Linked DNA regions of Oryctolagus cuniculus. The protein of the gene in region 1 interacts with the protein of each later gene in a pairwise test. Links are inferred from orthologs where the notes say so. Each region holds a gene or a part of one and is shown in the gene's direction. Other genes may lie near its edges. The genes, in order: LDLRAD1, ADGRG7 and BNIP3L.

Region 1 (3,750 bases):
GGGCAGTGGAGACGGGATGCATAAAGACTGAGGCCAGCGAGTCCAGGACTGCGCATGGTTCAGTTAGCTGAGCTACAGCCTACAAAAGCACCGTAATAGATGGGGCGAGATGCGTCAGGTAATAATGGGCTTTACTAGACCTGCGCTGGATTCTGAGTCCAGCAGAGAGGTGTTGGAAGGTTTTAAGCATGCTTCCGCCCCAGTGAAATCCACTTGCCCTCAAGTCCTGTCCTAGGGTCTGACTCCTGGGAGCCCTAAGTTGAAACGCACCCTTCGTCTAGTCTGTCTCCTAGGGAGTGGAAGCAGGCACTGAGGCCCGGGAAGGGGGGTTGCTTGCCCACGTGAGAGCCGGCTGCAGGGCCTGACCAAACCCCGTTTTCCTGGTGCGGGGCTCAGCTGTTTCTCTGTAGCTCCCCGCTTCCTGAGGGCTGCCCCTATGTCTGCCCTCCTCACCCTTGTTCCCAGGGAGTGGGCGTTTTATTTCCCAGTGCAAAAGAAACGGCTGGCCATAGGTGAGCAATCTAGGGGCATCAGAGGCAGGCTTCCAGGGGACCCCAGCCTAGAACCCCTGGGCTGGTTTCTGGAGGAGGACACCTCCCCTTCTCCCTTGGTCTGGGCTCTGGTCCAGAGTGAAACGCTTCTGGGACGATGGTCTTCCTAGCAGGGAGCTAGGCTGCTGGGGAGACTGCAAGTGGGTAGACAGATGGGTCGCTGGGGGGAGGCTGCTGCTGTGGTGCAGCAGGTTAGGCCACCGCCTGCAATGCCGGCATCCCATTGCAGCACCAACAGCAGTTCCCAGTCCTGGCTGCTCCATTTCCAGTCCAGCTCCCTGCTGATGCACCTGGGAAAACAGCAGAAGATGGCCCAAGTATTTGGGCCCCTGCACTCACTTAGGAGACCTGGAAAAAGCTCCTGGCTCCTGGCTTTGTCCTGGCCCACCCAGCCATGGTGGCTATTTGGGGAGTGAACTGGCAGAGGGAAAAGCTCTCTCTCTCTCTCACTCTCTCTCTCTTTCTCTCTTTCTCTGTCACTCTGCCTTTCAAATAAGCAAAATAAATCTTTTTTTTAATTTTAATTTTTTTTATTTTTGACAGGCAGAGTGGACAGTGAGAGAGAGAGACAGAGAGAAAGGTCTTCCTTTGCCGTTGGTTCACCCTCCAATGGCCGCTGTGGCTGGCGCGCTGCGGGCGGCGCACTGCGCTGATTCAATGGCAGGAGCCAGGTACTTATCCTGGTCTCCCATGGGGTGCAGGGCCCTAGGACTTGGGCCATCCTCCACTGCACTCTTGGGCCACAGCAGAGAGCAGGCCTGGAAGAGGGGCAACCGGGACAGAATCCGGCACCCCGACCAGGACTAGAACCTGGTGTGCCGGCGCCGCTAGGTGGAGGATTAGCCACGGCGCCGGCCGAAATAAATCTTTAGTAAGGGATCACTAGAGCCAACAACCTGCCCCTGCCTCATCCCCACCCCCAGCACTGTCTCAGAGAAAACTAGAATGCACTTTGCCATATTTTAATTTTATTTATTTATTTGAGAGGCAAAGAGACACATAGAGACAGACAGGAGAGATCTCCCATCTGCTGATTCATTCCCCAAATGCCTGTAACAGCTGAAACTGGACTGAGCTGAAACCAAGAGCCAGGAACTCCATCCCAGTCTCCCACGTGGGTGGCAGGACCTAAGCACTTGAGCCACCTCCACCTGCTGCCTCCCAAGGTGGGCACTAGTGGGAAGCTGGAAGGGAGTGGAGCTAGGACTCAAGACCAGGTACTCTGAGACGGGACGCAGGTGTCCTAACCACTAGGCCAACGCCTGCCCCGCCACGTTTCGTGTGCTTGTTTTGTTTTAGCAGTTTTAAGTGAAAGTTGTCTCTAAGATTACTTTACTCTGGCATCTTCCTGAGTGCTGCTTCCTCACATTTGCCCTTCCCCTGTCAGACTCGGTGAGACCTGGCTTTGCGCTCCAGGATCCTTTTACGTGCTGTGCAAAGAGCGTGCTTTCAAGCTGAGAGGCCGCCCACTGCCAGCGCCATCCCGGTGATTCCGCCAGGGCCACCTCTGCCACCTGTCCAGGTAAGAACAAAAGAGGCTGCCTCCTGGTGGCTCTGTGCCGCAGGGCAGGGGAGGGGTGGCTTCCTCCTGGGCCGGGTTCCTGAGAGGCTGCACCTGGGGACCTGTTTGACGTCCAGCGCTGGGCTCTGACCACTCCTGAGGACACTGTGCTCCCTGGGACCTGTGACACTCAGAGGTCGGAGGGGGTAGAAAGAAAAAAAAAGGATCTTTTTTGTGGTCTTTGTCCAGTTTCAAGCCAGCAGGAACCACCCTGTTGGATGACTGCCACAAGGACAGGTGTGCCTGTGGCCTCTCCCGCCGCACCTGTTCAGTGTGGATGGCAGATTTTTTCCAGTAGCCCCGGGCCATGCTGCCCATCTGCCGGCCCTCACGGTGTCCTCGCACCTCTCGCACTGCGCCTCCTTTCACACGGGCGTGGAGCACACCTTGAGCTTCTGTCTCAGCTCTCCCGGACGGGGGAGACTCGGCCTTCCTGCATTGCAATGCCTCCTTCAGCCACAGAAGGGTTGAGCTTCATCTCAGCCACAAATGGGAAAAGCCCCTGCCACATTTTTAAAGAAAATGATGAAAAATTACAGTTGCTTTATAATTTAGTGGGAAATGCATATTCTTTTTAAAAGATTTATTTATTTACTTGAAAGGCAGAGTATGTGTGTGTGAGAGAGAGAGAGACTGTCCATCCGCTGGTTCACTCCCCAAATGTCCCCCACAGCCAGAGCTGTGGTGATCCGAAGCCAGGAGCCTCCTCCGGGTCTCCCATGTGGGTACAGGAGCCCTAGGACTTGGGTCATCCTCTGCTGCTTTCCCAGGCCATAGCAGAGAGCTGGACTGGAAGTGGAGCAGCCAGGACTCAAACCGGTGCCCATGTGGGATGCCACAGGCGACCACTTTACCTACTATGCCAAAGCACCAGCCCTGAATTATCTATTTAATTAAATGACCCTTCTTATTGGCCACTGACACAGTGACCTGTGCCATGACTGGCTGCCTCTTCACACGCTGAGGGCTGCCGGCTCCCAGTCTCACCGCAGGCCCTGCAAAATCGCTGGGCTTAAGTCTCACCCCTCTCACCTGCTGTGTGACTTGGGCCAGTCTCCCTCTCCGAATCTCGGCTCTGCTTGCGGTCTGTAAGAGGGGAATGAGGATTGCAGCCTTGGCGTGTTGCTCTTGGACTGCAGAGTGGGGAGAGGCCTGGCGCATCAGGACCCTGCTCTCCTTTCCTCTGCCTGGGAGGGCGTGGCCAGGGCGAGGCCCCTCCTCCAGGCTGCCCTGGTGACAAGGGAGGGAACCTGCCCTGTATCCCTGGAGACTGGACGCTGAGAGCTGGAAACATGAACAAGGTCTTCCCCCAGGTAAGTGCGGCCCTGCGTAGCTCCTGATGCAGGAAGCAAACTCAGGTGAGGGCAGGAAAGGGGCCAGGTTAATACTGCACCTGCCCCAGCCACTGAGGTGAGTCAGCTCCCACCCTGCCCCAGGGGCTCACTCCCAGGTATCAGGCCCCACACGTGACACAACTGGACAGTTCAATGATGAACTGGGAGGAAGCCGGGGTGCAGGTGCACAGGGGCCAGGGGAGTGGATGATGTTAGGAGATCAGGGAAAGCCTCGCTGGGGAGCTGCCTGGGCAGGTTTGAGGGGCGGATTGTGGCAGGCAGGCAGTGGAAGAAATGGCGCTCC
Region 2 (3,650 bases), on another chromosome or scaffold:
TTCCCTCTCCCCATTCGCCTCACAGCATTTCCATGGGATTTCTGCAGTGCTCAGAAATTCCAGAAGCTCCAAGGGGAAGTCGTGTGTGTGTGTGTAGGGGTTGGGGGAGAAGACTTTTACAGGCCCCAGGCACTTTTGCCTTTCGGGGATACTTCCTCCATAAAAAATTAAAAATTGTATTTTATAACTGCATTGGTATAAAGATGAATACACTAATATTCTTTGACCTAAAAGTATATTTACTTATTTATTTAGTCTTTTAGAATTAAAAGAAGTTAAAACATTGTATCGGCCCTGAAAAAACCATGGCCCTAAGTACTGCTATGTTTAATAGATAAGCTGATCCTGGTTGCCAGGCTTTCTGTTGCATTCTATTAGTTAAATCATGGTATAGGCCATGCATGAGACAGAGCCACCAGGGCATAAATCCAGTATTTAGAGTTCACTGCAGTCATCTTTGTAGATTCACTGCTACTTTTGATCAGAATACAGTTCTAAGAAAGGACACTTCAACTACTTTACCTCACTAATTTGTAGAAAGGAGATGAGGGGAAAATGTTTTCCTGGTATAATTGGGAAGGTAGGTTTCCCAGCTGGCCCACTGGGCTATAAGCTGCTTTTATGTTGGATAATACTATTCCTTGTTCCCTCACAACTTCATTAGGGTTTATTTTTTCAGTTGTTTTGTTTTCATTTAACTATTTAGATTTATTTATTTTCAGGAAAGTCAGAAAAACTTCAATAACTTGGGTGTTGGTCAGTCTGTGCACATCAATGCTGATTTTCAACCTCCTTTTTGTGTTTGGAATTGAAAACTCCAATAAGAACTTGCAGACAAGTGACAGTGGCACCGATGATATTGACTTTGATAATAACGAAATACCCACAACAGACACTATTGGCATCCCGAATCCCACATGTACGGCGATTGCTATCTTACTGCATTACTTCCTCTTGGTGACATTTGCCTGGAATGGACTCAGTGCTACACAGCTCTATTTCCTCCTAATTAGGACCATGAAGCCCCTTCCTCGACATTTCATTCTGTTCATCTCATTAATTGGATGGGGTAAGTATTTGCATCTTTACTTAGGAATTTAATTTTGTTGAAATAATTTAAACAAACACCTAATGAAAGCCTAAAAGTACAAGGCCAAGCATGAGGGAAGATAGACACTATGGCAATAACTAAGAATGCTTTATGTCTAGTAACTTATACTAAAGCGAAAGATGAACTGGTGATCAAGGAAGATATACTACATACAGGGCAGCAAACTTAAATCTTTTTTCCATCTAGTTTTATTTGAGATTTAAGCAACAAGTATTAACTTCCCACATACTTTAAAGAAATGTTACAAGACAGACTATCCAGGCCAGCACTGTGGTGTAGCAGATAAAGCTGCCACCCACAGTGCCGGCATCCTATATGGACGCTGGTTGGAGACCTGGCTGCTCCACTTCCAATCCAGTTCTCAGCTATGGCCTGGGAAAGCAGTAGAAGATGGCCCAAGTCCTTGGGCCTCTGCACCTGGGTTGGAGACCCAGAAGAAGCTCCTGGCTCCTGGCTTCGGATCGGCCGAGCTCCGGCCATGGTGACCATTTAAAGAGTTAAGCAGTGGATGGAAGATCTCTCTTTTTGCTTCTGCTTCTGCCTCTGCCTCTGCCTCTGCCTCTTGGTAACACTGCTTTCCAAATGAATCAATAAATCTAAAAACAAGACTACCAGAATAACTCTTCAAGAAAATTATTTCAAAAATTAATTGTGTTCCAGCAAAGGAAGAATTATATGAGTAATATCCACATTTAAATTTATTTAAGTGAAAGAAGAACTAAGCCATATAAAAATAAAAGGTTTCTTTGGGAAAAAATGGAAATTGTGGTAAGAGTTACACAGAAATCAGAAAATATGTACAGCAAACAATAAAAGGAAAAGGAAAACATTTAGAAGATAAATTACATCTACTTTGACCTATGTCTGTAGGATCATGTAGTATATCATCCATGGTGGAAAGAACAATGCCTCCTGAAAAGGGTCAGGTGCATAATTCATTAATGGTCTTTTGTAATTAATCCTATTCTTGGATAAATTATTGATTCTGTTCCTCTCTTTTATCACACAGGTGTCCCGGCGATAGTAGTGGCCATAACTGTGGGAATTATCTATTCTCAGAATAAGAAAGACTCACAATGGGAGTTAGACTACCGGCAAGAGGAAATGTGAGTTTATATTTTTGAAAATATCAATTTATTTGAGATAAGAATATAACTATTCAGGCCGGCGCCGTGGCTCACTAGGCTAATCCTCCGCCTTGTGGAGCCGGCACACCCAGTTCTAGTCCCGGTCGGGGCACCGGATTCTGTTCCGGTTGCCCCTCTTCCAGGCCAGCTCTTTGCTGTGGCCAGGGAGTGCAGTAGAGGATGGCCCAAGTGCTTGGGTCCTGCACCCCATGGGAGACCAGGATAAGCACCTGGCTCCTGCCATCGGATCAGCAGCGCACCGGCAGTGGCCATTGGAGGGTGAACCAACGGCAAAGGAAGACCTTTCTCTCTGTCTCTCTCTCACACTGTCCACTCTGCCTGTCAAAAAATAAAATAAAAGAAAAGAAAAGAATATAACTATTCAGTGATGTTGATTCCAAATGTTATATGCATCTCACTTTTGACTGTCACATTTAGAGGTGGGCATTACAAAATCTCAAAGAACACATCATTTTTAATGCAGTGACATGGAAATTTCCTAGATAAGTCATTTGTAAAGCAAATAATCAACTAAACTTCTAAATCTGAACTTTATTTTCTTAAATTTTCTCCTTTCATTGTCTGAAATATCTGAAAACATAATAGGTATGATCCCTAATTACTCATTTTGTATAATCCTTAGTTTTCTCATTTAAAAAGCAGGAATGTCAATAACAGTAAAACCTATTCTGGGATTACTATAAGAAGTCCAGCAAGAATGAAAACATTTAATAATTTGAAAAGCACTATGCATTTGTCACTTCTATATACTGATTCTACATTGATGGGATTATAACGAAAACTTACCACACAAACTAAATTGTTCCTGTGACTCCATTGTAAATAACTAATCATCAATAACAAAAGTATTTGGATGGTGTGTGCTTTTGATGTGGGAGGAAGAGAAGAAAACTGGACTGAACTGGTACTCAACGCTTTACATGTTTTTTTGCTGCCAGTCAGCAACTGCTCCTTAAACTAAACTACCTTCTCATTTTATAAATCCAACCATTCTTATCCCCAGATTCTACCTTAAGTCCCAAACCAACCCAGATGAAAACCAAACACTTGGAAGTGTTCAATAACCTCCAAAGGTAGGCTGTAGCATCAGAGGACTTACCACTCCCATGACTGACCATGCCTAGCTGTAGGCCATGTGGCTGATGGCCTGGCTGGATTTCATACTCCTAGACACTACTTTCTCTCCCATATGGGCACCTGTTCCAGTTCTGGCTGCACTACTTCCAATCCAGCTCCCTGCTAATGCACCCGGGAAAGCAGTAGAAGATGGCCCAAGAGCCTGGGCCCATTATCCATGTGGGAGACCCAGATGCTGTTCCTGGTTCCTGGCTTAGGCTTGGCCCAGCCCCAGCCATTGCTATAACTCTCTCTGTAACTACCTTTTAAGTAAT
Region 3 (3,650 bases), on another chromosome or scaffold:
CATTTGGCTATGTCCCATTTTAGAGTACCTGGGTTTGGTGTTCAGTCTGGTTCTCAACTCCAGCTTCCCTCTGACGTGTGGCCGGCAGCAGTGATGGCTCAATTGGTTTAGTCCCTGCCACTCATGTGGGGGCCTAGGTTGAGTTCCTGTCCTCTGGCTTCTGCTAGGTCTAGTTCCAGGCATGGCAAGCATTTAGGGGAGTGAACCAGCACATGGGAACTTACTTTCTTTATCTGTTTTACAATAAGAAATAAAAATAATTTTAAAAGAAATTAGGAGTAGGCTAAGCCTCCACTTGTGGCACTAGCATCCCATATGACCAGCAGTTCGTGTCCTGGCTGTTCCTCTTCTGATCCAGCTTTCTGCTTATGGCCTGGGAAAGCAGTAGATGGCCCAAGTGCTTGGACCCCTGCACCTGCATGGGGGACCCAGAAGCTCCTGGCTACAGTTCTGCACAGCTCCAACCGTTGTGTCCATTTAAGGAGTGAACCAAATGGAAGACCTTTTTCTCTGTCTCCCCCTCTCTCTGTCTATAACTCTACCTCTCAAATAAGTAAATAAATTCTTATTGGAGGGTGAACCAATGGTAAAGGAAGACCTTTCTCTCTGTCTCTCTCTCTCTCTCACTGTCCACTCTGCCTGTCAAAAAAATAAATTAATTAATTAAAGCACCCTAATGTGTTCAGCAAACTCACTGGGCCAATAGTTATTTTTAAGCTATGCACCTCACCAGTGCCACATCCCCTTTTTCTGTGGCTCCGCCCCCTTTGCATGCTCACCCAAGAAAACTTTTGTGTCAGCCTAAGTTGAAGTACGATCGTGTCACCTGCAAACCGACAAGGCTTAATGAAAACTCTACAAAGTAGGAACCCGTGGGAGAGAAAGAAGAGATAAGTTTACAAGGTATGTTAAGTGTGTAAAAAAGGAGAAAGGGTGAAGGCTAAAGGAAAGGAAGAAGCTAATTTGTGGGCTAGAGCTAAAGTTTTTCCTAGAATTTTTAGCATCACCACCTGATTTTAAGGACCAGCTGCATTAATTTCATGCTCCAGATAAATTTGTACACAAATTGGCATTTTTGTGATTGTATTTAGGTTCCTTCTCTGGAACTTCTAATTTGTGCTAATTAGGATGTATTTGTTAGCCTATTTGGCTGAACTTTGTTTTTTCTAAGTTGTGTTTATTTTGTAGAGCAGGTACAGATATCTGAGGTTAACTATAGAATGTGTGTAAAAAACTATCCCAATAAAGGTAAGTAGCCTGTCTGGTAATAAAATAACTATTTTTTTTTTTTTTTAGAAAAAGCAACCTCAAGATGTTCAGTAAAGTGTTGACTATATATGAACTAAGCTTTAACCAGAGAGAAAATTGGCTGAAAGATGTGTTTTCTAAGATAATAGTTTTAGACTTCCAGTTTCATTCTGACTACATGAGCTACTACTTCAAGAATAAAACAATATGGATTTTAGACTTAATTGCTTCTTGTTTATTTCCTTCGGAATACTTTTGCCTTTGGTTGGAAGGAGTCAGACTTTTTATCTGAGTTCACCATATTCACATCTGTGTGCACATGACAGATTTCGGTTCCGCTGTGGTTCACTTCAGTTATCTGACTTGTCCCACAGGTTCCTGGGTGGAGCTACCAATGAACAGCAGCAATGGCAATGATAATGGCAATGGGAAAAACGGGGGCCTGGAGCACGTGCCTTCCTCGTCCTCCATCCACAATGGAGACATGGAGAAGATTCTGTTGGATGCGCAGCATGAATCGGGACAGAGCAGCTCCAGAGGCAGCTCCCACTGCGACAGGTGAGCGAGAGCCAGGTTTCCATGGAACTCAAGAACAGAAGGTATAAAGCTAACTCGGATGAGAAGAAACTCAGTTAGCTTGAAGTCCTCACTTGACAAAATTCGCCTCCTGACTGATTATAGCCTGTGTGTTTAAACCAGACAGCTGACTAGCAGGAAATTTCATGCCCACTGTTGTGTCCCCTAGATTAACTTGTTTTTCTTAATCAGATTTTGTGATTTTTGGATATTCATCATTTATTATTATTTTTTAAAAGGGTTGTTTTTTGTTTGTTTGTTTGTTTGTTTGTTTTGACAGGCAGAGTGGACAGTGAGAGAGAGAGACAGAGAGAAAGGTCTTCCTTTTGCCGTTGGTTCACCCTCCAATGGCCGCCGCGGCTGGCGCGCTGCGGCCGGCGCACCGCGCTGATCCGATGGCAGGAGCCAGGTGCTTCTCCTGGTCTCCCATGGGGTGCAGGGCCCAAGCACTTGGGCCATCCTCCACTGCACTCCCTGGCCACAGCAGAGAGCTGGCCTGGAAGAGGGGCAACCGGGACAGAACCCGGCGCCCCGACCAGGACTAGAACCGGGTGTGCCGGCGCCGCAAGGCGGAGGATTAGCCTAGTGAGCCGCAGTGCCAGCCAAAAGGTTTATTTTTTAAAATGTATTCGAAAGACACAGTTAACAGAGATAGAGAGAGAGAGATCTTCATCCACTGGTTTACTCCCCAAATGGCCACAACAGCTAGGGCTGAGTTCACCATACTGCACATGACAGACCAAAGCTACACCAGGGCTGGACCAGAGCCAGGAGCTGCCTCTTGGTCTCTCGCATGGGTGCAGGGCCCAAGAACTCAGGACATTTTCTACTGCTTTCCCAGGACATAAGCTGGATTGGAAATGGAGCAGCTAGGCTAAGAACTGGCACCCATGTGGGATGCTGGTGTTGCCGGCAGTGGCTTTACTTGCTGTGCCACAACGCTGGCCCCTATTTATCAGTTTAAAATTCATTGGCTATTAAATTATAGAATTGATCTCTCTTGCTTTCTTTTCCCAAATCGCATTCTTCCTTGAATTACAGTGACCTCTGGATCTGTTTTCCCTTATGGATGGTAAGGCCTCGGAAGGCAGGGTTCATGCTTCCTCTTCATACCTTTGATGATAGTGCTGGTATGTAGTAGACACACAGTAAAGTTGAGTCATGCTGTAGCAGTATTCACAGTGGGAGCACCAACCATGGTCTATAAAGGTGGTGTTCTTGAAGGCCATTCTGTTTCCTCAGATGCCAAAGCTTTATTTTAGGCCTCATTTTTCTATATTTGACTCAAGAGGGAAACTAATTCCACTGCTTATGGTGAAAGAGTTAAGGGTATAGACAGATGTATGCACAAGAATGAAAGTCATTTTTCAGCAAAATCTTTTCTTCTTTTCAGAAAGACTAGGTATTTTAAATGACATTTAAAAATTTTTGGTACCATGACACTGCACTGTTAACATTACCAAGGAAGGTTTGTTGGCCGATGGCACCGCACCACCCCCGTGCCATCCCTGACTTCTTTCTCTGCTACCTGGCTCTTGTCATAAGCAGAACCGGAGCAGATGGTCCTTTTCTGAACAGCTTGCCATTGATTCCAGTAACCAAGCACTAGTGTGTCTTTGAGAGTGAAGCTTTGTGTTAGATTTGCTTTATGGAACTTGCTGAGAGGGTGTTTGGCTTTCTGAAGTTTTCTGCTTGCCATGGCCTGTTTATAAGGCTCTTATTACACCTTCAGGTGCACGAGCCTTGCCATTGGTAGATGTGTCCATTAACACCTGTTCACGTGGTGCTGCCGTTGAGCAGAGAGCGAGCCACCTGTCCCCCCGACT

The links.
Region 2: the proteins of LDLRAD1 (region 1) and ADGRG7 interact in binary tests that used the Homo sapiens proteins (3 or more experiments, as listed by UniProt). The two-hybrid records come from large-scale screens. The link is inferred for Oryctolagus cuniculus from reciprocal best matches to the Homo sapiens genes LDLRAD1 and ADGRG7.
Region 3: the proteins of LDLRAD1 (region 1) and BNIP3L interact in binary tests that used the Homo sapiens proteins (3 or more experiments, as listed by UniProt). The two-hybrid records come from large-scale screens. The link is inferred for Oryctolagus cuniculus from reciprocal best matches to the Homo sapiens genes LDLRAD1 and BNIP3L.

What each region holds. Positions count from the first base shown.
Region 1 is NC_091438.1:118,979,171-118,982,920, forward strand, and holds the start of LDLRAD1 (low-density lipoprotein receptor class A domain-containing protein 1), read left to right. Parts: upstream 1-1,480; 5' UTR 1,481-3,404; coding exon 3,405-3,425; intron 3,426-3,750.
Region 2 is NC_091435.1:55,234,319-55,237,968, forward strand, and holds part of ADGRG7 (adhesion G-protein coupled receptor G7), read left to right. Parts: intron 1-722; coding exon 723-1,069; intron 1,070-2,120; coding exon 2,121-2,217; intron 2,218-3,650. UniProt on the Homo sapiens protein: Orphan receptor.
Region 3 is NC_091433.1:47,850,261-47,853,910, reverse strand, and holds part of BNIP3L (BCL2/adenovirus E1B 19 kDa protein-interacting protein 3-like), read left to right. Parts: intron 1-754; exon of another isoform or gene 755-903; intron 904-1,622; coding exon 1,623-1,806; intron 1,807-3,650.